5 linked regions of the Coturnix japonica genome follow. The protein of the gene in region 5 purifies or fractionates together with the protein of the main gene of each other region. This does not show direct contact. Links are inferred from orthologs where the notes say so. Each region holds a gene or a part of one and is shown on either strand. Other genes may lie near its edges.

Region 1 (6,180 bases), on a different chromosome or scaffold from region 5:
TAGGTTCACGATGTACAGCTTTGGACGACGAGGGGGAGGTTTGCTCATGCACCAAAGCCGGGGGTATTTCTTCAAAACCTGCCAGAAAAAAACCCAGCAATGATCAGCACGGCCAAAGGCACGAGTAACCGTGAACCAGAGCAGCGAGAGGAAAAGGAATGTATTACCAGGAAGGGAAAGAGGGAGGAAGTGAGACTATCACACAGATGGTGGGCGAATCCTGACACCAGAGTTTACAGTTGTCTGTTTGGGAGGAGACTGCTCAGCACCAAGGTGTATCACCAAGAGGGAATGCTGCTAACAATCTTCACCGAGTCTCTAAAGTTACCTTTAAGCTGGAACCCAGACAAAGAATCACATCTGCTTTGCTTGCAGCTTCTGTTGCTGCTTCCCAGTTCAGGGGCTGTGTCAGTGTCCCCTTCTCCCCAAAGTGGACGATTGTGTCTCTCAATTGAGCCCCGCATTTGTGGCACATCCTGCCCGTGTGGTGCTTGTGCAGGGCTGTGCGTTCGGTCACATCGAATACTCGCACATACTCTCTGTTGGGGGTACATGAAGTGCAGACCTATAGCACAGGAAGAAAAGATGTTGTATTGTCAGCATCTGGTCTGTTAAGAGCCCAGAGATGCAGCCACACCTCAAAAAGCACCTTTTGGGGACAACAAACCTGGAAGCAGTGGAAGGAATCACCTGTGTTTAGATGCTAACTTGGAAACACTCTGAAACACTCAGCTACTGAGTGAGAGGCATTGCAGGGGGCAGGCTGGCTGGGCAATAGGACAGGTTTTCAAGCAATGCCTGAAGAACTGCACTCAAAAGCAGAAGGCTCTAGCAAATACAGAGCAAAATCTGCCAGGTTGTACAGAAAACTTAACCATGGGGCCTGCTAACTACTTCACCCCAAAACTGACAACCTACAGATACCAACTAAGCCACAACTAGCCCTTGTACTAATTCCTGAGTCAGGAAGGGATAAATAATTAACATTAGCTTTTTACAAGGCCGGTACTGGCAGTACCTTTGTCCTTTTCTTGCTGCTCACCTCTATGTACATGTTTCCATGAAGCTCAGATATTGCTGATCGAGGTAACCCACTGCGCAGGTGCAGCCCATCACAGTTTTGAGATACCACGTGCTGCACCTGGAAAAGAACAAAACACTGAAATAACACACACAGAGAAGGCTCGAGAAAGTGTTATTCCAGTGCAGGTAACACATATATCTCAATGTGCAATAAATAGTTCTACTTCAATATACTGAGCTAAGAGAAGAAAAGCACAGAGTAGAACTCTGTGGAAGCTAAACAAAGAGGCTCCTGCTAAATACAGCTCTGTTAGGCCTGGCAGATTCTGTAGCCACATCCCCAGACCACAGCTTTGCCAGGAAGCAAACACAAGCTAATGAAAAAAGGCACAAGGGAAAAACTGCTGGAGCCAGTCTGGACATGGCCTGATGAAGGCTCAGCTGTACAGAAACAAGGACAATTGCCACCTCACTAAGGACAACAGTTAGGCAACGTCGTGAGTTTCTGTTTTCCTTTTTGAGCTGATTTATTGTACTGTGACAGAGGAGCACAAGTGATGTACGGAGAGAAAAATCTTACCAGGTTATGCTTGTGTAGACAAGCAATGCTCATATGGGTGAGCGTGGGCTCTGCCTCACTCAGATCTGTAGCACTGACAAGGGGCAAAAAGAAAAAAGAAGTTAGAAATTGCCATTCAAACTCTCTTTCAGTATCAGCTGTTTGTTGGGCAGCTCAAAATTCATCTCCTGAGTAGCTGTAGAACTGTTTTTCCAGGAAAGAGAAAGGAAAAATTCACTCCTGTCACCTTACCTGATGCTCCTGCCCTTCTGCAGCAATGTCCAAATGCCATTGGGGCCTCGGTAGTCTGGGATCGAAGCTGCCTGCGTTATGGAGAGAGACAAAGCGCAGCCTGACGGGAAAGTTCAGACCTCTTGTCCACCACCACATCAACCTGGCCTCACCCTGGACAGTGAGATACTGCATTCACTGCTGCTTTTTTGTTCACTCCAAGTTTTCTCATGTTTTCCTAATTATAGAGAGCTCTTTTCCTACCCTACAGTTCTCATTTTCTTGTGCAGTGTTTATTTTCTCCAGCTTTATCACTATGAAATCCCTCCAGAACACTCTCCTCCCTCAATTACTTCCCATTTCCCCACACAGAACCCATTTCTTGAACCTTTAATTCTTTACACTCTACTGATTTCAGGTAGGTCGTACTCAGTGATCATCAAAAGAAGCACCTATGACATGAACACTTTCTCATACGCTCTGCCCTGCTCCATGCTCCCTATCAGCTGAGACTGCAGAAAAGGGGAAGAACAATAAGGTTCCCATCTCAGAGCTCAGACAGAAGTGACAAATGTGCCATACAAAGAGGCAGCTCCAGATTGCCTTTCTCGTAAGAGGCCACAGAAACCATTTCTGAACCATCATTTTTAACTTCTAGTAAGCACTTGTTATTTCCAAATCGTTTATTAATGCAGGCTGCACTGAGCAGTTAACTTCTTTTAGCTTTAGCAGCAAAAGCAGCTGAAGAGACGTGAATGAAGACAGCCTACTGGTCTTATTTTAGAAGCTCATTCTTTGCATAGAGGCGATGCAGTCTCAGAATCTCTTGGCCAGCAGGAATATCTCAAGATGCAAATTAGTTAACACCTTGGTCATGGTTTGTAGTTCAACAGTGTTAATATAGAATCCCAGATATCCTCTGGGCAGCCTGGTCTGGTGGTTGGTGACCCTGCATGTAGTGAGGGGGTTGAAACTGGATGACCATTATGGTCCTTTTCAACCCAGGCCATTCTATGATTCTGTGATATCCCCACGGTCATTTGGAATCTACAGAAAACAGAGTTCAAACATTGCAACACTCCTGAAGGAGCTCCCAAAGCTCCAGCCACTCACCCCCAAAGAATCCTACCGTACTGATCCCTGCTCCTGTGTAGATGACAAGGTGCTTGGCATTCCGGATAGCAGCAGCCAGCTCAACAACCTTTCTCTTCAGCTCCTCTGGCTCATCACATACCTAGGAAATGCAAATGGGCAGTTTCAGCATGTCACTGAACCTGAAGGAACATAGAGCCCCTTGGCCATATGGGTCCATGCCAGCCAGAGAACGCATCACACAAATATTATCAGAAGCAATTTTTAACTAGAAGAATGTGGGTGTTTGGTGTCTGTATTATCTATGGAGGAACAAAGGGTTTCTGGACAGCAGCACATGCAGATACACCCCTCCATGGGGGAACGCCCACTCAGAAAACCAAACACGCTTCAAAGAGGTTGGCAGCCGCAAGAAGCAACAAGGCTGGGGCGGGGGAATCAGCCGAGACCGGCACAGCAGGACACAGCCCCGAGGGATGGGGGCACTGCTGGGAGGGCGGCACCATCAGTTCTGCTGTCACAGCAGCAGCTCAGCGCCCACCAGCTCCCCCGGGTCACATCGCACAGCGGCTCCTCGCCCCCGTCCAGCCGCACCCACTGGGCCCCGCCCGGCTCCCACCTCCTCCTGCCGCCGTCGCAGCCTGTCCCGCCTCTTGCGGCGCCGCTCCAGCTCCCGCACGATGTCGTCGCTCTCGCTCAGCACCTGACACTCCTCGGGGCTCCGCTCCGACGGCGGCTTCCTCCAGATACGGGAAACCTGCCCGGCACACACAGCGCGTCACGGCGGCCAGGCCAGGCCGCGCCGTACCGTACCGTGTCGTACCGTACAGTGCTGTACCGTGCCGTGCCGTGCCGTGCCGTACCGTACCGTACCTGTCTCCGCCGGTCCCGCTGCTCCTCCTGCTGTAGGATCTCTGCTCTCGCCGCCGCCTTCCGCTCCGTGCGGCTGAGGCTGCCGCCGGCCGCCATCGCCCCGGAAGCGCCGCACTTCCGCTATGAGCTTCCTCTCGGGGAGCGGCCGAGCGCCGCTTCCGTCCCCTCCCACCCCGCGGTGCGCAACAGCGCCCCCTAGAGCGGCGGAGGACCGAGCCGCAAGGAAGCGCCGGGCCGTGGTGTTTGAAAGCTGTTTATTGTCATGTACAAAACAACGGCGGCCGCGCCGGCAGACGAACACTATGTACAGCAATAAATAACGCCCGCCGTCGCCGCGCGGGGCAATAACTTAGCAATAAATACCGCCCCCCTCCACAGCGGACGGGTGCGGGGCCGGGACGGGCCCGGCAGCCGCTGCAGCCCCGGCCCACGGCACGGCGGGTCCGTCCGGGCCGATCCGAGCTCGGGCCTCCCCCGCCCCGCTGCCCCGGGACAAGGCGGAACTCACTGACACGATTCACCACACGATACACAAACCCCGCCCGGCCGCTGCACGGACACACTGCGTGGTTCCTTTGAGGGCGGTTGGGGTCGGGCCCAACCTCCACAACCACTGCATCAAAAATGTACCGGGAAAGGAGAAAGAAAACACAACACCCTTCACAGCAGGAAACCGAACGGACGAGCACCTCAGGAACAAGAACTGCCACACTCCAGAACGCTATATACGAGAGAGAGAGAGAGCAGAGCGATGGGCTCGGGGCAGGACGGCCTCACAGTACCGGGTGATGAGGACAGGCTGCCCCGAGCGTGACGGGAGGTTCCTCAGACACGGCAGAAATACATGAGTCAGATTGCAATACTTCACTGAGAACAAAACCAAAACACACCACGCCATACGGGGAAGCAGCACCCGGCAGAGGAGCACAGCCACCCCAGCACCTCTAGGATGGAGCCAGGCAGAGCTTGGTGAGCAGGGAACCATCTCAGCTGCAGGTTCACCCTGTGGCAGCAGCTTTGTGCCCATATGTCCCTAAAGAGATGTGTCCTCACTGAATGCATTCACTCAAAGCAAACTGGGACCACAAGCTAAAGCACAGCGCAAAGGAGGGGAAATGACAGCACTCATGGCTGGTGGAGTCAGCGCTGACACCTGCTCTGTCCTCCTCACTTGCTCCAGGAAAGCACAGGCTCTTATGGCAGCAGCAATTGCCATCCAGAAGGCAGAGAAGGATCGGGTGCAGAATACAATGGAAATGAGTTTGTGGGAGCTGTGGGACTGCCTGTCATTGCCTGCTCTGTTGATGGAGCCCTCCTCAAAACAATCTCCAGTAAATGGAGACAGTTTTGCGCACAAAACCTTGTCTGCTCGCTCTGCAGAGGTCAGGTCTCCAGCTGGGGTCAGGAAAGCTCTCCTGCCAGGTCAGATCTCAGGCTGACTCCAGGAGGGACAGGGTTGGATTTTAAACCCTGAGCCAGCCAAAGGACTCTGTGCTGTGTCCCATCCCCTCCTCACACCATCCACATCCACCAGCTGGAAGACAAAGGCTCGAGCCTAGAAGCCTGTGCCAAGTGTTGCACAGCAAGTAGCCCATCCGGTGCATGGCAAGGAAGCAGCAAAACAAACACCTCAGTTCAGAGAGGAGAAAACTCATGAGCTGGATGGGGGAAGCCTGAAGGTGATGTTCTAACCTACTCCTTACTCATAACGTTCACAGGGAAAAGAGTTCCAAGCAGCTTCTCCCTAAGCCTGCAATTAGTCAGTGCAAAGCTGATCTCTTTCAACAAGAAATCCCATCAGCTCCTCTCCTGCTGTGCTGCAGCTCTCTTTAGGTTTGCCTGCTTTTCAGCCCAGAGAAAAGCACATCATTTCAGCCATGTGAGAAACTCATCACCAAAACACATCCAGTACAGCAAACTTCACTTGTGCCATCCTTATCGGTCTCCTGTGCTCAGGTGATTTTTGACAGCCAAAAGATCAAACAGACTTCATCCCCATGCCCTGCTTCTCCACAACAACTCGGTAACCAGCAGCTGTCCTAGTGTGAAAATGGAGCCTCACCACAAATCATCTCTCAGCTGTGTCACACAGCTGTCAGTTTAAGTACCTTTACCAGCACCTACAGCCAGAAGCTGCAGCAGGAAAAATAATAACCAAGACATTGCTCACTTTGCAGTAATACGCTGATGCTCAGCACAAGAGACTGCAGCTTCAGGACAAGCGCAGGTCCTGCACTGCCTATAACACCATCAGCCCTGCCTCTTATCAGAGGAGCCAAGAGCACAGCGTGAGCTCTGACCACAAGATCCACATCCAGCTCCAGCATTCAACCCCTTCAGTCTCCTTCTGAACTTATATAGCTCTCCCTTGTGTTACTTCTCAGCCAGAGGAGAGCAGTTCC
Region 2 (6,212 bases), on a different chromosome or scaffold from region 5:
AATATCATGTGCATCTTTACTTCTGACTTGACTCAGATTTAGATGTAGAAGCTCTCAATGAAGAAAGCCGGCGTCTCTTGGCAATCTGCTCCTGTCGTTTTTCCTTGGCCTCCTGAGAAATGAACAAACAATAACGCATCAAGAAACGTGCAGTGTTGTGTTAGACGTTATCAAGCACTTAAAGACAATCCAGCATTAAACTTCCAGACCAAAAGAATTCTGTAAATACCAAACCTGCACACACCAATATGCCTTCAAGCCATACAGATCAGTGTCCAAACTAATAGTGCAGATACTAACAAAGAATTCAGGACATATAAGATGTCTATCTGTCTTATATCACAGTCGGGAAGTCACAAAACACTCAATACTGTGCTAAATAAACTAAAAGTATTACTTCCATAATCACTGCTGCTTTACCTTCAGACAGAAACTCTGCATTCTAATGGAGCATCCTAGTCAGACTCAAATTGACTTCAACTAAAACTGGTACTGCAAAAAACGTATCATTATCATGGGCTATAAATGCCCATCATTTTCTTCAAAATTAGCTCTGAGAAACAGACCAGACCCATCACCTCAACTGCTTTACTGCACTGGCAAGAATGAATAGCAACGCTCTCAAAGTTGTCTGCCAGTAAATAAACATTCACGCTCTCATTCAGATACCAGTCAGTTTCTACCACACATTTTTAAGTGTACAGTCAAGCTTATAAAATCCCAAGATTCTCAGGCATGAGGAACAGCCATGTCATGAGGGGTACACGTACCTTCATTCTCTTTGCCAAGAGCTTGGCATAATCTGCTGCCTCCTCCTTGTTCTTCTGAGTGCGCTGCTTCTTCAGGGCAATACGTCTGCGCTTATGCTGCAGAACTCGAGGAGTCACAAGTCGCTGGATCTTAGGAGCCTTGGTCCTGGGTTTCTTGCCTTAAAATGAGTTATTAATAAGAAGTGTGACAAGCTATCTTCCAAAGAGGATGCAAGCCCCCCCCCAACAACCATAAAACAGCATATTCCACTCAAACAGTAACACTTAGCACAGTATATACAGTGCAGGAAAAGCAATCCAATTTTTGTCACACATAGCACTAACAAAATGCAGCCTTAACACTGATGTGTTATCAAGCAGGGAAACATTAAGTACTGCCTCTCTAAATTCCTATAGTTTTGTGAAGATACCTGGCTTCTCAAAATACCTGCCAGAAAACAGAACACTGCCCCTTGTTCTAAGCACTAGGGAAGTCTATGGAACTCATTATCTGCTGAAAATGACACGCAACCACAGTGCTGTAAAACCTGAGTTCTTACCCTCTTTATTCAGAGGTTTCCTCACAACATACTGGCGAACATCATCCTCCTTGGAGAGATTGAACAGCTTGCGGATCCTGCTAGCTCTCTTGGGACCAAGACGGCGAGGCACAGTTGTGTCTGTCAGCCCAGGAATATCCTTTTCACCTTTGATAAAGCAAATTTAGACATGTTACTTAGTCTTGCATCTACTAAACATCTCTTTAACTATAGTTGCTCATTAATTTAAAGTGAATTATAAAAGCAAGATACTATGACGGCTGCTGTAAAAATAACACCTTCTATTTTATTACATTTGCTCTTGTTCACTGCTGGTGAAAATGTATAGCTAATAGTGGTGCCTATGTTAAAAAGTAGTGTTCTGTAGCTGAGACCTTGCTCTATCAAATGGCGTTATTGTGCTCTTTGGTACTGTTGTCATTCCCATGGAAATACATAGGAAGCGTTACTTTCTGAGCAATTTAGGTGGATTATCCCTGGGGTACACCTGCCACTAGTGCCTCCTCTGACTGCACTGACTTAATGAAATAATGTTGCTTGTGATCAGTTCTCATCATTTAAAGTTACAGTACAATGCTTAGAGAGAATTTTAACGTGCATTTAGACAATTAAGACTGAGACAGCGTTTGTATTCTACAGGACTTTACAGCCACTAGCACGCAGGTTCTTTCCAGGTGCCTACTTCTACCTACAGACTGCACGTACCCTTTTTCACAATGACCAAGTTCAGAACACTCAAGTTGGCATCAACAATGCAACCCCGAACAGATTTGCGTTTCCTCTCTCCAGTTCTCCTGGGGCGGTAGCAGGAGTGGCCCTTGCTGAGCAGAAGGCGGACACGTCCATGAGTAAGGACACCCTGCTTCATGGGGAAGCCTTGTTTGTCATTGCCACCACTGATCCGGACAACATAGCCCTGCAGAAACAAAGAAATACACCTCTTACTTGCTCAAGTCCCTATCAATTCAACGAGAGGAGGTGGAGATCACAATACTGTGTTCCTATCAAACACTGCACCACCAGAAAAGTCACTGTAAGTGCAGACACTAAGTACTGCTTCAACATACATCATTTCAACAGCTCAGGCTGAAGCTCACTTAACACAGACATGAAACATGTCTTTACATATCCCAACTAGCATTTACTGCCTCTTCAAACATGTATCCAAGCAGCAAATTCCTATTTGTTACAAGCTAGTGTAATACACACCAAACTAAGCCCCAACGCTTTCATGCTAACCTTTTCTTTGCCTTCATGCTGAACCTCACCAATGTCTGTTAACATCACTAACTGCACATACGTACACAACATGTTTCTATTAAGACATGGGGGTAAAAATAGCTCTTACTGCCTTCCTTAAGAGACAGCAGCAACACAGATCATCTTATTCAAGCTCAGCTGGACTGCCCATATTGACATCTCACTATTCCAAACCTATCTATCAAGTTCAACATGCTTGTTCTCATATGCACTTAACAGTTTAAATAATCCTTGAGCTTGTTCAATGCAGAATTATGACTTTCGTGGTATAGTCTTCATTTGTCTTGAACATTGCTAGGATACCCAAATCAAGAACAGAAAACTATTTAAAAATCCAGCAACTGTCTGAAACACATAGACTTAAAAGAAAAAGGAAGAAGAACTAAAACCCTGCTCATTCATTAAATTCAGTATGTATTTTAAGAGATACTTTCAACATATTTGCCAGATGCATAGCACAAAAGTACCCTAGGAACTGGAAAACTTAATCAACTTGACTACACCTGACACACTGGACTCTTACCTTCCACTCCTCGCCAAGAGAATCAGCTGCAACCTCCGTGGCCATTCGCTTCTCATAGAATGTTCTCAGCTTACGCTCATCATCCACTTCAATAAGCTTCTGGCAGCCAGTGGCTGGGAAAGAGATGTTGAGCTAACAGAAGAAAAAAATAAACAATGAATGATTTAATTGAGGCTTCTCACATGACATTTCCAGAAAAAAGTTAGTGTTAACTGCTGGTTTCACCTTAATGTTTCAAATCTGAAAGCTTCTACTTGCTTATTAGCAGTAACCTGTTACTACTGCACTTACAGAACCAGGCAAATCTGTGTGTGCTAAGAATGATACCAAACCTGCCCCATGCAACTACGTTCACCACAACGAAAGCACTATGCCCTCTAAACTGACTGCCACCAAGTAAATGGCGGTATAGCAACAAAAAGCCGTACGCCCTTCCTCTTATGTATGACTTGAAAGAAACAACACGAGCAACCTGAAATAGTCACGCTACGCCTTGGTTATCACCCGTGTTTCCCGAGGGCTATTGCAAGACCAGTAACCTCGGAGACACTGCCCAGCACTTCCCCAGACACAAGGCCACGGAAGCAGGCCCAGCTCCACTACCTCCTTGCTGGGGCTCTGCTTCTCTCGGTGAGGATCCGCTGTTGTTCCCCGCCGTAAGGAGCCCCATAACGGGGTGACTCAACCCATCGCATAGAGTCCCCAGCGCAGGAAGAGGCCCCAACATGGGGCACGGTGCCGCGCGGCCGCCATCTCGAACCACCCGCAATCCACCGTCATCCAGCCCGCAGATGCGCCCGGAGCCCGCTACCGCAGCCCATCGCGCCCCGTCAGCAGCCCCAGAGGCAACGCCAGGTTCATTTGTGCTGCGGGAACCCAGCCCCCGCAGCACCGCCCAGCCGCCGCCACAGCCTCACCTTCATCCTCGCCGAGCTGCGCCGCCGCACAAAAAGGCCTCACTTCCGCTCGCAGCCCGCACATACGCTCGCCAACCCTCGCGAGAGCGGCCCACCGGCGCCGCGCCCATCCACACGTGACCGCAGCTGTCCAATTGCGAGCGAGGCCTGCTCTCGCTAGGGGGCGTGGCGGGAGGGCGGCTTCCGGGCTGTCAGCGCTAGGAGACGTGTGACCCCCCCCCAATGCCCCACGTCACTTAGTGCGCCCCGGGGACGCAGTGGTAGGAATGCAGCGTTGCAACACCGGAGGACACGGGTTCGAATCCCCCCTGTGGCGCAAGTGTTAGAAGTGCCGCTCTGCTACACAGAGGCTCGAATCCCGGGGGCTGGACTCGATGATCTCTAAGGTCCCTTCCAACCCGCACAAGACTGTGATACTGTGAGAGGAAAAGGGCATGGCTGGTTGGTATTGTGCACAGCCTCAGCATTACACTAATGTTGAGCCCAAGAGCCTGAAGTATCTGCAGGAACGCATCTAGAGTCCCATTCTGAGCTGCTCAGTTCAAGAAGGAAAACTTCTTCAGAGTCCATCACCCAAAGATGATTATGTATCTGGAGCATCTGTCGTACGGGGAAAGCCTGAGAGACCTGGGTCAGTTCTGCCTGGAGAAGAGGCTTCCCCAAGAGAAGAGGGGGGTCTTATCACTGCTTATAAATACCCAAAGTGCAGGAATTTCAGAATTTCTCAGGAATTCAGAGGATGGTGCCACGCTCTTTTCAGTCTGGTGCTGCGCAGAAGGACGTGAGAAGCCAAACATTTCCACCCCAGCGTTAGAACAAGTGCTGCTAATGCACACAAAGGAGGGCGGGCGGGCCGTGCGGGGACGGCAAGAGCCGGGAAAGCAGCGCCTTTGGAGCGGCCCCTGGCATGAGGCGGGTCCCAGGAGCCGCGGCTCCACAGTCAGGGCCGCCCCGCCAGGGGGGCGGGCACTGAGGGAGGTGGGAGGGGGGACAGCCGTCCCGCTCCGCCCCGCCCCGCCCCGCAGAGCCGCTATCGCTTGGCAGGGGCGGGCGGGCGCCATGGGCGCGATGCTGTGGTGGGATCAGCTTCGGGCCGGCAGCTCCGAGGTGGATTGGTGCGAGGACAACTACACCATCGTGCCCGCCATCGCGGAGTTCTACAACACGGTGCGCGGCGGGAGGGAGGGTCCTTGGGCCGGGCACAGCAGCGGGCTGCGCGGGCGGGTCTGGCGTCTGCCCGGACACGGTGCCCCGTGGGCTGGCGGTGCTGAAGGGCCTCGCCGAGGGGCTCCGTGGGTGCCCCGCTGGACGCGGTAGCTGAGGTGACAGCCGGCTGTGCGGCTTCGTATCGCAGGCGTAAGGTTTATCACCAGGTTGAGACAGGGCTGTGAGCCACGAGTGAACGGTGTGCGCGTCCTGCCCGGTGCTGCCCGGCCCACGGGTGTCCCGTGCCGGACTGCCGCGGCTGCTGTCCCGTGGCGCAGGTGTAAGTCTGCCCTACGGCGTGCGAGGAAGGGGCGGGCCACGAGCAGACCCACCGGGTGTTTGGAGGCTAAACCGTGCTTTAAAGCTTTGCAGTCTCCCAGAGCCAAACTTAGAGGAGCAGTTTGACAGAGGGTTGCAGGGTGCAGTCAGCACGGTGTTGCTGGGAGGAGTCGCCTCAAGAAAGGTGAAAAAAGGAAAGATGACTGAAGTAATTGTTACTTCCTCCAGGTTCACTCCTGAGTCCTGTCATCCCAGCCCAAAAGCTGCTGGGGAATGCTGCTAGGGAGCACTGATGTAAGTGTATTAGCCACAGCAGAGATCCGGGAGGGGAGCGCTGCTCCAAGCATCCTGTTTATTCATCTGAGGGTTTGCAGTGACAAACAGATCCATCAAGGAGTGAGATCATACATCGGGCTTTCTGGTGATGTGCTTTACCATGTTGCCAGGAGGGAGCCCTGCAAACAACATGCCTGTGGTGGCAGTCGGGGTTATCTGTTCTGTGTCAGGTGTGAGGTGGGGTTTCTGCTTTGTCTGACTTCAAAATGGCCTTTTAATTTCTTCCCCAAATTCCGTCCTCATCTGAGCACTCTTTCAGTCTGTGTTTCTTGACTGCTAACATCAGATGCTAGTGCTGCACTTCTGTGTAGGAAAGAAAGAGGTGTCTGGAGTGTTCATCCCTCACGGGAGTGTGTACCATGGGATGCACTGCATTTAGAAC
Region 3 (6,390 bases), on a different chromosome or scaffold from region 5:
CACAAAAAGTTTAATACTTGCTCTCTCATTTCCTTAATAAGGGTGAGCATTACAGCTTTAAAAGTTTCCAAATGGAAAATGTATCGTGTGGTCATCAGTTATAAGCCTGTACTCATGTTGGGCTCCAACTGCATTGTACTGATGCAATCAGATTAGAGCACCAGGTGGGAGGATCTTTTTTCACAGGGAGAAAGGAGAATGAAATACTCTAATGCACCCGTATGGTGGAGTGCTGAGTACAACAAACAAGTAGACATCCTTTGAAGCTTTCTTCTTTTCAGCAATTAAAATCCCTGCTTAAATTCTGATGCTACACTTAACCAAGAAAGCCACCGACTTTAAACAATTCATTTTCTGATCAACAGCACTTCCATCTTTCTCACTCATCCAAAGACATTCGATCTCCAATACAATATTTTAGGAAGGAAAATTCTAGTGATAAAGCATGCTTCCTTATGGAGATAAGTTATGCTGTTTAGAAAATCAGCAAACAGAATATTCTTAAACATTCTGTAATGCTACGTTACTGATATCTGATGGTTTCTCATCAATTTATTGTGACTGCTAACATTGCCAATATGACTGTAGGTATGTAACTTCCTTGTAACAGACCACTGGGATTGAAACAAACAAACAAATCAGTCAATACATTGATTAATCATTTTTGAGATAAAAGTAGGAAGGTCTTACTGTTTTTATGTCTTGGTGAAATATTCTGAATGGGATACAAGGGAGTATCCCCCCCTCTGAAATGATGACCATTAAACTGGTAATTATTAAGAGGGTAATTTCAGTTAGATAGAAACATTGTTACCTGCAAGTAGTAAACTGAATCTTGAATGTGTTTTAAGTAAAAAAGCCACGTTCAGACCTCTGAGGAATCTCTTGTCTAATGAAAAAATATTGATTTCTTTTTTTATTATTATTGTTAATGTTGAGCTGTGTGTCAGTAATGCAGCTGTGCATGGACTTTAGCATTTCAAGTGATCTTTAGGGACACAGTCTCCTCTACCATACGGTACCACTTCCAGCAATACTCATAAGGAAAAGCATACAAGTTTGCAAAGCCTATTCTTCCTCCCTCCCTTTCTTTCTGCCAACAGACAGTGAAAAGGTGATATTGCTATAAAGATATATAATGAAGAAATACTAATGTAACAGGATGATAGTAGACTCCCTGCTAGTGACTATCAATGAGGAGGCGTTAATTTCCTCCATGTCGGCCAATAAGTAGCTTGTGCTTCTTTGCCCTTTAAGGGAGAGAAGAATCAGATGCAAAAGTCGAATTTACAGTCCCACATAGGCAATACTAATACAGGCATGTCAGCACCCAGTGGAAATCAGGCATTTCAAGCATTAAGAATCACAAGTTACTGTAGGAAAATGGGCAAATCCTGCTCAGCTGGTGCGTATTGTCATTCTGATATGATATTCCATATCTCAGTTTTATACATGTCTGTCATTTGTATACGCTTGTTGGATATTTGTTATGGTCAACAACATGGTCAGTGTAGTCACCACCACATGGTCAACGTTTGCATGGTCAATAAAACAACTTTTAATCTTTGGAAGATACTAAAAAAATGGCTTAACTTGGAACAAATTTTAAACAATAGTTAAAACCTCTAACAATTACTCCAACAAAACTACTTAATATCTCTGTCTGACATCCATATTTATAGTACAATAAACAGTGAAAAGATTAATGGGAGTGTATTCACTTTAGTCTTCTGTCCTTTCCTACATTAAAATAAATAAATAAAAATAAAAAATAGCTTTTGAAAAGCATTGAAAGAACTTCTCAGTTTTCCCAGGGTTGTAAATAAATTTTATTCACATACATCCAAAGCCATTCTCATGAACTGGCAAACAAGCACTTAGTGAAGAAAGAAACTTTTTATGGACTTCTATTGTATTTTTTTCTTATAAACAAGACAAATATGTACTCAAAAAAACTGGACCCAGACATTTAACATTTTCATACTTCTAATAAATCCAGCAGTTTTACAAATTTGAGTATTTTAATTAAGATTTCTGCCTTTTAAAATTTTTTGGTGACTGTAATACAAGAAATTATGTATAGTCTGTGGATTTCATGCACAAATTTCTTCTCAGTTGGTTTGTTCCTTTTTTCAGTACAATTATAAACTGATAAGATTTAATACATTCAAGGTAGTGCTTTACAGTCATTTATTTCACTGGTCAATTTTTAGTATAAGTGAGATCACTTACAGTCAGTTGCAATACTAATTATAACACTAAGTAGCTATGCACATACAGGTAACAGTCTTTAGATTTTCACTGAACGTGCAATCTTAAAAACATAAATTTTACAGACATTGTAGTTATGCACTTCACAACATAAAATTAAGAGGTCATTAAAGCCTGTGTATACAAGCTACAGTGCATAAAGAAACTATCAATCATACCATTTTTAACTGGATCATAACAAAACATTTTTCCATGTTGAGGTTTTGAATATGAAAATCCTATTGATCTTACAGTAGTTTCTACAAAAAGCCACACAACTGTGGTCCTGACAGACATTCATGCCTATCAATTAAATCCATTACTGGAAGAATTTTATATATCTGTTGCCTACTATTTTCAATGCCTCTTAAAACTTGTACAAAAAAATATACATTTTCCTTAAAAATTATAAAAGATCTGAAAACAGATATGCAGCACTCCTAAAATATTCTGCAATAAATCTAGAAAAAGGAGTCCCGACTTAAATTCTGAACTCTCATATGCAAACAATTAAAATTGAGACCAATACATGATGTCTGTCCACTTGACAGCAGAATTTGACTCAGTCTGCACTGCAAACATTATGGAAAGTATGAAAAATTATTTCACAAGTTTCACTTTGTCCTTTAAAACTTTAAATTTGGGATTGTTGTTCACTTTCTTATTAAACGTAACTAGAATATCCTCTTCTGATTTGTGATGATCACCAGCTACTGCATAGTACTGAGCTATAACCTGCACAAAGAAAGAGGAACAGCTCTGAGTTAGTAAAGATCCAGTTAAAGCTGTAATACAATCATGTTACTGTATTAAAAGTAGTACAGAAACTGCTACGCTACGCGTTTGCAGAACTTGCCTCTGTATTCTACTGAGTTCTAAAGAATGAGTCTAGTTCTAGTCATGTTCTGCTAAGAAACATCAAACATTTTTGACAGGAACAGGATTTTACAAGCTTCAGCACTACAGGAAAACAAAACTCAAGAGCAAAGAAGACTTAGAACCTAAAAAAAAAGATAGTGCACTGTACCTTTTTCCTTAGTTTTTTAATTGAAATTTCATTGTCTGGAGCCTGTTTCAGAACAGCTTTGATGGTTCCTTTCCAGTTGAATTTACCTAGAAAATAATTAGGCATATAAAAATGTAAGTTTACCAGATCTTGTGGTAGGAACCTTCAAACTTCTTCTTTTAGAACCAGTTCAGCTGCCATCATGGTTCTCTGTTATCCTACTGACTTTACAACAGCAGAATGTCTTAAGTATAAAGTCAGGTAGGCTGTTCCTGAATATTTTAATTGGATGTCCATGAAGAACCATTGTGCAACATGAGTAGTTAGGGTCAAGATGGCTTTCACTTAGCTCCTGAGTTTCAGCTATAAACCAGAAACCACTACATAATACACAATCTGCATGTTCAAGGACAGACATCCCTCAAAGATAGTGAAGTGCCTTGGCATATCTAAGAACAAACCAAGTCAAACACAGATATAAACTCGAATTTATGATTCAATTATAAAAAATGGTGATTTAAAAGACAACACAGATACAAAGCTGCTATCATTTTTCCTCTGTGCTGCCTCAGGTGTATGGCAGCAGGGAAGAAACCTAATGTGGTGAAACAAATATTCCAGATTCCTCAAAGTCTGATGAAATTAAGTGTAGCTAGAGGCTGCCAGCACAGAATTAACATAAGAATGCAGAACTAGGTGTAAAGTGTAGCACAGGCTTCTTCCTCTGGAACAGATAAGTGAATGTTATGATTGAGGCAGAACTTACTTCACAGCTTTCTGCAAAAGCATCATATTCTGCACGAGATCTTTTGTAACACAGTTTTGTAACCATCTAAATTTTCCCCTTCAGAATATCTTTACCTTTTCCAAGAGTTTCTTCATCGCCATTGGTGTTCTCTGTTTCCATGTCTTCTGACACGCTTTCAGTTTTCATTCTCTTTTTTGTGATACAGGGTTCCTCTAGAGGTGAAATGCACACACAGAAAAAGTGATAAAACTAGAAGTTCCATGGGGAGCAAATTTCTATTCTTGTTAACATAAGCTTCTATTTGTTAGGATGTTCATGTTCTGTAAAATCTGTGTATTTAACATTCATTACTTTTACAAATTCCACTGAAGTAGATTATTGATCTTTTAGGCACTGGCAAAGGTCTGGAAACAATAATAGAGTAAGTAGGATAGATACCTTCTACATGTTTATGTTTGCGTTTCCTGACATTGGTTTCCTCTTCAATCTCATTCTGATGGCCATTTCCATTCATTTCAAATTCATTCTCCGAGCTCTCCTTCTGTTTTTTGGACTTCTTATTCTTTTTAGTTTCTGAGCTCACAGGCTGATTTTCTAATTTCAGATCTTTTTTCTCCTTCTTATTGTTCTTTTGTCTCTCTTCTTTTCTTTCTTTCTTACTCTTTTTCTGCTTGGCTTCACCATCTGTAACTTCATTTTCTTCCGCCACTGCTTTTTGCCCATTATCTGCAGACTGTACTACATCCTTCTGTTGTGGTTTGTCAGGTTCTTTTTTACCTGCCACCTATTTTGAGAGACAGAGAATTACAATTTTTGACATTCCTTAATTGTTAATTCAGCTATTTTGCACTACACCATTTCTGAAATACACCACTATCCTGAATTCAGCCAAGCTTACTACACAAGGTAACACCAGTAGTAAACTCTATGGCTTGATTCTTCTGTTAACTGCTAATAACCTCGACATCACAGAAGAAATGTTATCATGTAAAAAAATATTTGGCTTGGTTTTATTTGTTTTGCTTTGTTTTACAGTATATTTTGCTCTATGTAATAAATGGTGCACTTGTTGCATGGATACATGTTTAAAAACTCCATTCTCAAGGCATTTAAAATGCAGTATTGGAATTTCTAAGGGCACAATTGATGTGAATGCCAGAAAACATAAACATGATGATACAAAACATTATGTACATCCTAAACTGAAACACTATATTTAGCAGGCAAAGACATAATTCCGAAACACTGCTATTAATAATTAGTTGCATTATCGGAATACAAGGAAGAAGGAATGTGCAGATTAGAGTCAGTATAGAGTCTGTATATTTTTTTAAGATATATTTGCTAAAATTAATCAAGTTACAGGTAACAAAAAGCTTTGATTTCTGAAGATAAACATTTTTTTTAATGCACTGCTGTTGTACAGCGTTATACCTCTTATTTATTATTATCTTAAATTAACTTACATCTCCATTTGCTTCAGAAAAAATATCCCACACCTGATTTTGCAAAGTGCTGTCAGTAACTCTCAAACTGTTCTTCATCCAGTTCTGTGCAGGAAAGAAAACGAACACAATCCCAATAACTTTAAAAAGCGTGCCTCCTTTTCCTTTTTTCTTCTCCTCACTACCATATAATTCATTCTTAAATTTAAGAATTTTGTTATTTTGCATGATGAATATCTGGTTCGATGTTTATCCTCTACGAATCCCTTAAAACCCAACGCTAATTTGTTTTGTGTAGCATATAGTTAAAAGTCTATGCCATGCCTGTCAATTGCCTCACCAACAATAATCCAGATGAGATCAATTGTGTTAGCAACGGTAATGGGAGGACGGTTGGACTACATGATCCTGTAGGTCCTTTCCAACTTTGTGATTCAATGATTCAGAATGATACAGAAAATGATATCCTCAAGCTTTTGAACAGAGCTAGTAAACCTTCTGATTGTTGGTATGAGCCAAAATATTAAGGATCTGTTCTTTGTTTCACTACAGACAAATAATCCTTTAGGGACACCTGGAAAGGCTTCACTGGTAAACTGGAATAATGTACTGCAAAAACTTGATCTTTCAATGCAATATCTTACCAAAAAGAAGAAAGCTTCTTGAAAATGGAACTTCCTTGGCTTAGAACATTTTGGTTAATTTTGTCAAACTAGTCTAACCTTCTGGCTGGCTCTGGCAGCAATTTCACACCAGTTCTATTACATCCTATCTGAATCACCTAGAAGCAGTCATGATTTTCTCTCAGCTTTACAAATTGAGACACAAAATGAAGTGGAGGAAAGGCCAACTTGTAATTCTTTACAGATACCACATAAAGCATTTGGAGTCTGCTGTGGTTGGGAAGCACAGAACAATCAAGTACTCTGTGTGGGAGGGGG
Region 4 (5,618 bases), on a different chromosome or scaffold from region 5:
CCTTCCAGGTCTCAAGACTTGTGCTGAGAAAAAGAGGAAAGTCAGTTGCATTAACTCACACACATCAAGGGTTAAATCAAGTTTAATTGTTACAACTGTTTCAACATTTATTAGCGTTGTTTTGGTCTTCATAGCATTACTGCAGTTACTACACAGAGAGAGCATTCAAGCACCTGAAGCAATACAGCATTTAGACAAGAGCTTTGAGAACAAGTTCAGTGCCAGGTATATCATCCACGCTTGCTTTCCTCCCTTCACATACCACTGACTTCATACCCTGGCATTTGAACCTCATATAGCAACTGAACATAGACCAACGAGTTACTTTAAAATGATCCTTTTAGTATCGCTGCTAGGCAATCAATAAAAATAACATAGCTAATAAGGCTCCATTTCGTCAACCCGGGCATACTGAAGAACAATTACTGCTTAGTAAGCATCGTGTTTACTCTGAGAATTAATTGCCTCCAAAGATCAGTGTAAGAACTGAACATGCTTTGCCCCGTTTAAATAGGAGGATTAAGTTTCAATGTGGACAACCATTATCTGGAGTGCTTCGGAGAATGATCTGAGGAACTGTGATGCAGACTACCTGCCCATCTGAGCTTTTGGGATTTGCAGTCTTCAATCTTCAAAGACCAGAGGATTAACTCTCCGTTATTCCCAGGAATTTCTCCATGGGCCACTGATCCCCCTCATTGTGAGCTCCTTGGGCACATCCTTCAGCATTCAAGCTTACACTCCCCTCCACAAAACCCTTAGCCCAGTCATTGAGACAACCTCAGAGACTGCAGCCCCTCAGAGGAACAGCACTGCCAGCAGTTCCCAAATCAAAAGTATTACATTTTACAAGCAGAGTCACAAACCCTACAAACTTAGCTGTTAGAATGAAACCATAAACCAAAAGGCAATGAAGCGGGTCAGAAACTGAGATGCAGGAAGGGCTGTTGTATGCAATTACATAATTAGTGGTCTCTTCCAGACAAGAATAAAGTCCCGCTTACCACTAAGCCTTCTCACTATAAGCCATTTGCTCAGTAGCTGCGGAGCTCACGGAATTGGGGTATGGCTGTTCTTAAAGCTGACAACATGACCGAGACCGATGTGTAGTTGCTAAAGAGAAGCAGCTCAAATAGTTAGCAGTAGCTCCTACGAGAACTTAAAAGCCCTGTTATCTCCTGGGTTTGGTATGCAGCCTACCCCCAACCCATAAAGAAAGAAACGATAATACTTTATTAAAATACTAAATTTTATTATTTTTTTTTCCACGTACATTTAGTCTTCCCACCATTTCCATTTGTCTGACCACCACCACCACACCACCATGCCTTATCAAAACATTCCATACATACTTAAAATGAAGCTGAGGGTGGAGTCCCGTCTTTTAAAAACTAAACAGGCATTTTGGACAACACATTCTTGGCAAGGTAATCTGGATGACATTTATCAGACACTGTAGGGAAAGCTCTTTCAGCATTTGTAAAAAGAACAGCCAAATAACGGTTACAGAAGTAAGACTGCAGACTTTAACAAACTGTTTAAATGGTTCTCTTACAGAGTCTGTCTCCATTGCCAGAGAGCTTGAATGACCTGGAAGTGTACACAAATGGTTAGAAACTGAAATCTATTTCTTGTTGTGGTTTTTATTTTTCACCCGCTTTGCTATATTGACATTCAATGACCAAAAAAACCCCACATTTCTTTCAGAGGAAACTAAGCTGAAAGCAACACATCGGATCCTTCTGCTAGAAGGCTGTTATTCGCTTCAATCACAATAATAAAAATCCAGTGAAGGTAAGTGAGAGGATGGGTGTGGACCAGCTAGGCAAATATTGGCTGAACTCTGCCTACCCTGGCTAATGTCAGACTCACTCCAGTAGCTGAGGCTAACTGCTTTTAAGCACTCTTTCAAGAACCTATCAATTTGCCTATCAGACACGTTTACTCTGAACCACCGAAGGAAGCAAGAAAGCGTAAGGAATTCTGTCACTGGAAGAGAAGTTTTCAACTTACAGGAATTTCTGTAGGGAAATCTAAGACGCTTTTTAGCCCAGTACAAGTTGAGTAATAACTAATACAGAAGCTTGCTTCCTGATACCACCTTTTGGCTTGCCCTCTTACAAGAGTTCAGTTGACTTTGGGAGAAAACGCGGCGAGAAAGCCATAATCTCAATTGCAAAACAGTTCCCCCTCCCAGACACCCTCCCCAACAAAAGGCTGAGCGGCAGACTGGCCTAGGTGGCCAACTTCAGCAGCAAGGAAAACCACAGCTCATTTCCTTCACCAATACGGTGCCAAAAGGAAAATTCTGTGGGTTCGGTAAGCAAGAGATAATTTACCAACCATATAAAAGCTGGAAAAATGTAATAAAATATTAACTTTCTCATCTTAGCCAACTAAACCCTTAAAACTGTTCCCATTTAATTTGAAGCATTGTTCGTGGTTTGTAACCCTTTGAAAGAGTCCAAAGCTTGTAAAGATTAAGAAGTGGAAAAGAATCCCTAGGTTAGGTTATAAAAGGCTTTGGGTTTTATCAGGTTTCAATAAATCCAGTTACCTTTTGGTCCTCCGTCCTGAAGCAATTCTTAACATAGTTGGCAAATTTGGGCTCCAGCTTCGGAAGGGAACAACCCTATTTTGAAAAAAAGCAAGCTTTATTGGAATGATGCAACGAGCCGCATACGCTCCACAGCTCTGCTGAAGCTTCAACCTTCTGCAACGCAAGTGGAATTTTACTGAACTCACCTTGCAAGGTCCAAAAGCTAAAGGTTTAAGTTTGCTTTTCTATGGCACCCAGGTATTTCTCAAAGCACTGTGCCTGCACTGAAATGCCTGGACAGGCATCTTCACTCATGTCGTCTGGATGATGCCTTACCCCTGCAATCTACTGGTTTCATTTGCTTGCTGATATCTGCTTAATATTTACTAAAGAAAACCTTCTTTATGACATTAATAAAACAATGGAAGCTGTTCTTTAAGCTGTTAACTCACTGGCTGTTACAGCTAAACGCCACACTGCATTTTGCATAGAGATAAACACCATCTTAAAAAACATGAAATCTCAAGGAACCACCCCAGCACCCATCTGTACCAAGAGGTTAACCTGACCTCAAAAACATCTTGTCAGCATCAGGTTCACCACATAAGGATCCGCATGTCTGTCCTGATAGAAGCACCACCCATCCATCCTTGCTCACTCTGCACCCCTCTGTACACTAAAATAATTTTTGCTGCATTTTGCATTAGTGGGACAAAACTGCCTTAAAACTTCAGGAATCTAAACACAAGATAAGCCTAATCCTATCAGCATTCACAGGTTGCTCAGAGAAGGTACAGATACCCCAATGCCTGGAAGCATCCAAGGCCAGGCTGGATGGGGCTTGGAACAACTGCAAAATGGAAGACATCCCTACTCACACACAGCACAAGGTCTGAAACTATCCCAACCATTCCATGATAGTGATTCTCTGGGTGACTTGTCAGCATAAGGAGGAAACAGCTCATCTCAAATCACAAAAAAAAAACTCTCTCCATTTACTGTCATCACTGTAGGTTTCAGCTTTATTCAAAAACAGCTTTCCAAACGTATTGTTCAGTCACCAAAGGACACATGATTTTTATGCAGTTCTAAGTTACTGAAGTAAAAAACCACAGCTGGTGATGTCAGGTCCTCACCTCCAGCTGTTCTAAAGTAAAGGTTTGTCTGCAGTGAACCTACATAGCACACAGGTATTCAGACTTGGCTTATGGGAAAAGAACTGCTGATTCTTACCACACTTTTTACTCAAGCAACTGACAGAGCACTTCTATCCAAACACAGCTTTAATCACAAGCATCTATCTCCCCCTTCTGGAAGTTACAGAGCCTTACATGCCTCTGGATATCAACTCTGTATACTGCTGGAGGACAAAGCAATTCCAAGCATGCTAAGAACTCCTCCTTACTCTAGCTGCCCCAAACACAAGTCATGAATACTATTTTGTACCACTAGAGTAAACATCACCCCAAGTGATTACTGTGCTCCACTTTTATCCTGCAGCCTCACACTCAGTCAGCAAATACAAAACTAATAACTACTACTGGTTAAATATTTTTCCTCACTTTCTCACAAGCAGAGGCTTATTCTAAATCATCTTTCTTTCACTTCTGGGTGTCAATACGAATTTATCAATATACACTGAGTTAAGAGCACAGCAAGCAGTAACATGCAGTTCTCAAAACCATTCTTCTGCTGTTGGAAGTGTTAAAAATAAGGCTGATCACAGTTAACAAACTCACCTTGTCTACGGAGGCTTGCATTTTTGCTTTGATCTCCTCTAACGTCAGAGGAACTTTGGGTGTTTTTGGAGTTAGAGTTTTGTCCTTCTTGGAATCTGGAGTCTGAAAATTATTCATTTTGTTAGAGATCACATACAAAGCTGCATACAGAGTTATGCATAAAACAAGCTTTCTGAAAACAGAAATACTGGGAAACCTACTGTAGAGTTTATCTTCAATACAAGAAGTGGCTAATAATTACCATAATTATCTTGAACTGTTTCTATGCACGTGTCCACACTGCTTTTTCTTCAAGCAGAAACGAAACTGAAACCAGCCCAAACATTCCCTGATTTAGAGCTCCCTCTACAACTACAGCCAAGTTTGATTCACAATTTGGAAAGGCACGCACTGACTGTGCTTTTCAGGTGCCATGCTTGTACCCATCATCCCACTCTAATTTGTGTATTGACCTTCTTTGAGTAGATGCAGAAAAACTACCAGACATCTAACCTTCACAAAGGACAAATACTGAGTTTCATGGGGTATATGAAGCAAGGAAGTAACAGGTTTCTGAAGGCATATGAAGCATGCTAACTTGATGATTAACACATTAAGTTTCTGCTAGGCAAGGAAACCAGCTTCCAGAGCAACACAATCATTTCACTCATTTTTCTTCCACTCACTTTTGTTTTAGATGCTGGTGTGGACGGCTTTGAGTCTTTTCCATTTTGCTTTGCTTTCTGTGCATTTTTTCCTGCTGGCTCCCGGGCAGGCTGCAAAGAAAGTAATCCAAACAATTTGCCATGAAAACACAATACTGCTATGGGTGCTAACAACACTGAAAAGCCTGTGACAAATAAACACTATTTAACCTCAAGTTTTTGCATGAGGTCTCATTCCCCATGTAGTGTTTTCAGTGCCCATTACTTAAGCAGAAATTAGAAACAACAGTGAATTACATATGAAAAGACAGCCTGCTTGCTGCTTCAGCACCACAGAGAACAATTAAGTTTTGCTACAAGGCCATAGACAGGACTATTTTCCTCATTTATATCCTAGACTCTCTAGTATTTTATACAGAAATCTACTCTGGGATTGTGGAAGAGCAATGCCACATGCATATCTATGAACCACATTCCTGTGTTCCTATTTAAACCAAAGGTCCATTTCACTCAGTGATTAGATGACTGGAAAAACCTGATACATTAACTGTTCTGTCCCTAAGAAAGCTGTTATTTTAATACAAATTCAAGCCGATACATACACGTTCAAATAAAGCATTAAATCTCTGCAGCTGTGAAGTTGTTTTGTTTTATTTTTACCACCAGATGGCACTGAAGGGCAGACAACTTTGAACA
Region 5 (4,927 bases):
CGCTTACTATCACCTTTACTACGTGATGTATGGGAGTATACAGTATATTTTCTTGTTATACAAGGGAGAGTATAAAATAGTTTTCTGATTTCTTTCAGAAGCAAATGACTATTTTATTTTTTAAGAGCAATCGATTGTGAATCTCAGAGTATAAAAAAAAAAAGAGAGAGAAATAAGCCAAATCTATACCTTTATGTAAATTAAGAAATAAAAGTATTTAAAACATACCACCTGGCTGCCTCTCCTGTATCACCACTTGGTCTGACTGCACGCTCCTGTAGGGCTGGTCCCTAAGATGAGGATGCCCTCAGCTACTGCCAGAAGTGCTCTGACAAGGGTTGCAATGAACATACCTGTGTACCTGCCTCCACAAGGTGCCAGAGGAAGAGCTGTGAGAGTAGAACACAAGATGCAGGGAAAGAAAGGACATTGCTGAGTCCTGCCAGCAGGCAGCCACTGCAGCTCCAGCCCTAACCTGCTGCTGCCAGAAGCCAGCTCACTACCTGGGATGCACAACAAGCCTCGCTTGATTGCTGCTGGGACATGGACATGAGAGGAGATCTGTGCCTTCCCACTGCAACTGAATGGGATCGTATTGATGCCAGCAGCTGCCTCCTGGGGAGTCTTATGCCATTTGAGAAAAGACACTGCAAAGGTAGTGCAGTGTCCCTCCAAAAGCAACATGACATTTCCTTTGCCCTTACCCATGTGGCGTAGAACAAATTCACCTGCAGAAATAAAGCCAAAGGTGCTGCAGAAACAGCCCCGCTCCTGGGCCCCGCAGGTCCAGCCTCCAGGAGCGTGGTGGTCAGCAGGTCAGGGAGAGGAAAGGAAGGATGAGGTTGCACACAGTCTGCTGGCCTGGCAGACTAACAAATTAATTAGCCACTGCAATTGCTTTCAGTGTTTTATTGACATCCCTGTGCTATCAAACCAGGGGCATCATCCCTCTTGCACCCAGAAGCAAAGGGATGCACAGGGGAAAGCAAAAAAGCAAGACCATGCTAGTTACTGATGACATCTGAGTGGCCCAGATTGGATATATTTAACCTCAGAATATGCATGTACAAGCCCGTTTAACCCTCAGGCATTTCAAACAGACAGCATCTTCTAGACTGGAAAAGCTGCAAATACTGCAGGGCCTGAAGAGGACAAGAACAGCCCTTCAGGGGAACCTCCCACAGGGCTCAACCACACAACTCTGCAGTGTCAGCACACCTACCACATCCCCAGGGAATCCAGGCAAGCCTCTCACTTCTGCCTTGAGGTTATCATATAAAAATGGAGCCTGTGCTACTGAGCTCGGGATGTTTGGTGTTGCCAGAGCCAGATGGGACACAGATCCCTGTACTGCAACTGAACCTTCTTACAACAAGTCAGACCTGCAGCTTCAAAGCTTGGCATCATGGAAGGTTTATTTAAATTCAGGGAGGGCATAAAAATATAGTTATAAAAGATATTAGAACAGTCCTCTGAGTCACATTAGCCGTGCCAAACCAGGGTGAGTCCATGAAGTTTACTCCTGCAGCACGGCAGATTTTTTCTCTTTCCTTTTCTTCTTGGCTTTGCCCTGCTTCTGCTGGGTCTCCTGGTTGACATCTCCCTTGACTTTCTTTGCAGCTGGAATCTGTTCAGCTTCATTGCCTGCATCACCTTTTCTTTTTCTATTCTTCTTCTTCTTCCTCTTCTTCGCAGCCACAGCATCTTCACCATTAACAGCTCCATTCTCTCTGCCCTCAGCTGCCACCCCATTCTCTCTGACCCCCCTGTTCCGCTTCCTGTGCTTCTTGCTACCAGGTAGACGGCCGTCCTTTTGCTCAGGGGTTTCTGTTCCCAGTGGCTTCTCATCTGGGGCTGCTGAGTCTCCATCTTCACTGGCTGCTGGTGCTCCTCCATTCTCCCTAACGGCTTTCTTGCGATTCTTACGTTTTTTGGTCTCTGGTAGGAACCCTTTCTTCTTACGCTTCAGTGGCTCTGCTTCCTGCACAGGTTTATTGGCTGTCTTCTCTTTCTTGGGCTTCCTGCAGAGAGAACACCAAAAATCAAGAGCAACTCGTTTTAAAGCCAGAAGCAAAGCTATCCATGTTGCAGGCAGCCACAAACAGGCAGGAGCACAAGAATGATGCAGGAAGTACAGGCATGCTGTGAGGATGAGTGTCATCCCTGGAGGTGGCCCCCAGCCTGCAGAGAAGATGGCTAACTGAGCTGTAGGGCTGCACAGGCTTGCAGAGACTGGATTAAGAAGCCCCATTTCTCAAGCAGGACCATCCATGGCTCCAAGTGAGGCTACAGAGATGCTGTCTGTCCATCCTGAGCAAAGCCCATCTGTGCTGCTCTGCCACAGCACAGTGGCACCAAGTGACAGCAGGCTGCACCCACAAACCCCAATCCTTTCCTCCGACAGCATGCACAAGGTCAGTGTTGCCTACCTACCTTCCCTGAGCAATCCCCCTTCGCAGTCTCTACCTGCTGCTAAAACTGACCTTCATCTTGGGACAGACCTTGCAGTACAAGTGACCTGTATGAGGCTGTGCCTTTGTGCAGTCCCTCCCTGCCTGTGAGCCTCTCACAGTGAGCCATGTGCAAGTATTTCCCCCAGAACCAAACTGTGCTGAGATCCCACAGACCAGGCCACCCACACACTGAGACTGCAAATCCCAGCCATTAGGAGAGCTACCCAGCACTTCCTGAATGCTGTGCACATCACCAACGCTGCCAGAAGGAAGGGGAAGCAAGAATTTCAATTACAAGCTATTGATAGAAAGGAGAAAAAGATCCTGCCCTTCTTTTTCGCCCTGGAGCAAAATTCAAATCCAGATGCCATTTAGCACAAGAGTATTGAGGCATAAGGACTGAATGCTTTCCAGCTTTCAAAGCTGCAAGGCAAATGTGGCTGGGGTTCCAGGCCACAAGGAGCCCAAGTATCACTTTAAGGGGCTGAAGGTCCTTGCACAGTGTCCCCGGTAAAGAAATACCCTGCTTTGTTTTCCTACCTCCTACATCAAAGAGGAGAAGCAGGACAGGCAGTCAGCCCCCCAGGTGAGCCAAGAAGCCAAAGAGCCAGGCATACGTACGTGTGATTCAGCCATCGCATGACGTTCCAGTACAGAGAGTCGAGCCGTGCTGACTTCCCGATGCTTTCCTGCTGGTTCAGAGCTACCAGCACTTTGTCCAACTCCATCAGCTCCACGTGCAGCTTCTGCAGGAGGCGAGTGCAAAACAACCATCAGCACTGAGCTCAGAAGGGGACTCACAGCTGCAGGACACAGTAAAACCTCAGGTAAAACTGCCAGGAACAACCAAGCTGCCTGGTTACTCCAAGCCACCGCCCTGAGCCCATTCACTGCAGCACTTCAATGTGGGGGGCAAAAACAGGCAATTCATGCCCCCATCAGGTACAAAGTTCGATTGAAAACTGGTCCCTAGCATGACAGCTGTGAGTGTAAGCTGGAACTGTACCGGTATGAAAGGGACAGAAAGATCCTTTAGTCCTTTTTTCCTTTACAGACCATGACTGGGGGCGTAGGGATGAAGATTATGTACTGTGCACCCATCTAAGAGCAAAGCAGCAGCATTTTCAGTCTGGTTTTTAAATGATGCAGTCACGCTGCCTCCAATGGCCTCTTACAGCTTCTGTGACCCACGGGCCAATTTCAGTGAACCCAGCCAGAAACGGGTGTCTCCAGGGTTATTCAGTGCTACAAGAACCCTGGAAATAATCTCTCTCCCCACCCACTTTCCTATTAGGTATTAACAAAGAAACAGGCTGTGCTGTGGGTTCCATGCTTATCAGTAGGAAACTGGGCTTCAGCAATTATGCTGCTTGCGTTATTTTGCTCTAGTAAATAAGACCATGTTGGAAACTCATTTTGTCACCTACAGAAAACCTTATGCTTAAAAAGGCCCTTTTCTATAGGGCCGAACAATGCGTCGCTCCCACTCAGAAAGCAGCTGGATAGGGATGCAGTGGCAGAGCAGTCACAGAATCCAAGCATGACACCTGACAGAGACCTCAGTGGTGTTCAGAAGGAGAAGAACCACTAGCCCTGCACTCAGTGTGTCACAGAGCACAAAACACACAGGATCAGTCCCACTCTCACCTGCTGCGTCGCAGTTTTGAGGAGGAAGTTGAGCAGCTCCAAGCATCTGGCAACTTTCTCCTTCTCAGCTTTCACCCTTAACTTATCAGCCCCTTTCAAACTCTGCAAATTAAAGGGAGAAGCACACGTTAAATGGGGAAGCAAATCTGTCTTCTCAGGAGAAAGCAGAGAACAGGCAGAATTCACCTGTCACCAAAACAACCCTGCAACAAAGCTCACCAAACTCTGGCAGTGCTCAGGAAGGAACACAGTGGAAGCTGCTGTGCCCAGGTTAATTACAGAACAGCTGAACAAAATAAGCACAAGTATATCACAAAGCACAACTCCACAACTCTCCCTAAGATAAAGCACAGCTGGGGACACGTTGCTGCCTCCTGGACAAAAAGAAGGGAGACAATGACCCCTCAGAGAAAGGCCCAAAGGCTGCCAGGCAACACTCACCTGAGGGACAACCCAACTCAGCTGCTGAAGCTGGAATTTACACGCAAAGAGCTAATGCAAAAATCCATTAGCAAGCTAAGGAAATCCCAGGTGCCAGCACTAGAACAGGGTTTGTCAATCAAGCTTAAATCCACTAAAAAGAACTGAGAAAATCTCATCTCTTTGTGTTACCTTTATGTGCTGTAGGGTTTCCGAGACACTGAAAGGTCTGGCTTAGAGGAAATCACTCCAGAGACAGGTCAAATAACAGCCACAGTTATTGACAAGTGGAGGAGAGCAGAACATAAAAGTTCTATAAAAAGGCAGTGGGAGCCATAAGGCAACCCTGGGGCTTGGGGCACTGATCCTCCACCTGCAGCAGGTCCTTGCAGCCCTGCTTACATGCA

What was found.
Region 1: the proteins of MYBBP1A (region 5) and SIRT7 purify together in Homo sapiens (affinity purification with western blotting; 3 studies listed by BioGRID, with this or other methods). This does not show direct contact. The link is inferred for Coturnix japonica from reciprocal best matches to the Homo sapiens genes MYBBP1A and SIRT7.
Region 2: the proteins of MYBBP1A (region 5) and RPS6 purify together in Homo sapiens (affinity purification with mass spectrometry; 3 studies listed by BioGRID and IntAct, with this or other methods). This does not show direct contact. The link is inferred for Coturnix japonica from reciprocal best matches to the Homo sapiens genes MYBBP1A and RPS6.
Region 3: the proteins of MYBBP1A (region 5) and LYAR purify together in Homo sapiens (affinity purification with mass spectrometry; 3 studies listed by BioGRID and IntAct, with this or other methods). This does not show direct contact. The link is inferred for Coturnix japonica from reciprocal best matches to the Homo sapiens genes MYBBP1A and LYAR.
Region 4: the proteins of MYBBP1A (region 5) and NPM1 purify together in Homo sapiens (affinity purification with mass spectrometry; 3 studies listed by BioGRID and IntAct, counting the BioPlex papers as one, with this or other methods). This does not show direct contact. The link is inferred for Coturnix japonica from reciprocal best matches to the Homo sapiens genes MYBBP1A and NPM1.

Annotation. Positions count from the first base shown.
Region 1 is NC_029533.1:4,426,565-4,432,744, reverse strand, and holds the start of SIRT7 (NAD-dependent protein deacetylase sirtuin-7), read right to left. Parts: upstream 3,916-6,180; 5' UTR 3,875-3,915; coding exon 3,779-3,874; intron 3,663-3,778; coding exon 3,525-3,662; intron 3,048-3,524; coding exon 2,943-3,047; intron 1,906-2,942; coding exon 1,835-1,905; intron 1,677-1,834; coding exon 1,604-1,676; intron 1,142-1,603; coding exon 1,043-1,141; intron 566-1,042; coding exon 329-565; intron 79-328; coding exon 1-78. UniProt on the Homo sapiens protein: NAD-dependent protein-lysine deacylase that can act both as a deacetylase or deacylase (desuccinylase, depropionylase, deglutarylase and dedecanoylase), depending on the context. Specifically mediates deacetylation of histone H3 at 'Lys-18' (H3K18Ac).
Region 2 is NC_029547.1:30,386,795-30,393,006, forward strand, and holds the start of RPS6 (40S ribosomal protein S6), read right to left. Parts: upstream 4,143-6,212; 5' UTR 4,016-4,142; coding exon 4,010-4,015; intron 3,225-4,009; coding exon 3,093-3,224; intron 2,226-3,092; coding exon 2,015-2,225; intron 1,457-2,014; coding exon 1,310-1,456; intron 929-1,309; coding exon 771-928; intron 113-770; coding exon 17-112; 3' UTR 1-16. Other genes in the region: ACER2 (alkaline ceramidase 2), read left to right, coding at 5,069-5,176. UniProt on the Homo sapiens protein: Component of the 40S small ribosomal subunit. Plays an important role in controlling cell growth and proliferation through the selective translation of particular classes of mRNA.
Region 3 is NC_029519.1:71,292,422-71,298,811, forward strand, and holds the end of LYAR (cell growth-regulating nucleolar protein), read right to left. Parts: intron 5,555-6,390; coding exon 5,471-5,554; intron 4,789-5,470; coding exon 4,443-4,788; intron 4,217-4,442; coding exon 4,118-4,216; intron 3,364-4,117; coding exon 3,278-3,363; intron 2,986-3,277; coding exon 2,851-2,985; 3' UTR 1,806-2,850; downstream 1-1,805. UniProt on the Homo sapiens protein: Plays a role in the maintenance of the appropriate processing of 47S/45S pre-rRNA to 32S/30S pre-rRNAs and their subsequent processing to produce 18S and 28S rRNAs. Also acts at the level of transcription regulation.
Region 4 is NC_029528.1:13,577,696-13,583,313, reverse strand, and holds the end of NPM1 (nucleophosmin), read right to left. Parts: intron 5,034-5,618; coding exon 4,944-5,033; intron 4,381-4,943; coding exon 4,279-4,380; intron 2,633-4,278; coding exon 2,558-2,632; intron 1,591-2,557; coding exon 1,552-1,590; 3' UTR 82-1,551; downstream 1-81. UniProt on the Homo sapiens protein: Involved in diverse cellular processes such as ribosome biogenesis, centrosome duplication, protein chaperoning, histone assembly, cell proliferation, and regulation of tumor suppressors p53/TP53 and ARF.
Region 5 is NC_029534.1:2,080,729-2,085,655, reverse strand, and holds the end of MYBBP1A (myb-binding protein 1A), read right to left. Parts: intron 4,203-4,927; coding exon 4,101-4,202; intron 3,200-4,100; coding exon 3,075-3,199; intron 2,022-3,074; coding exon 1,517-2,021; 3' UTR 1,390-1,516; downstream 1-1,389. UniProt on the Homo sapiens protein: May activate or repress transcription via interactions with sequence specific DNA-binding proteins. Repression may be mediated at least in part by histone deacetylase activity (HDAC activity).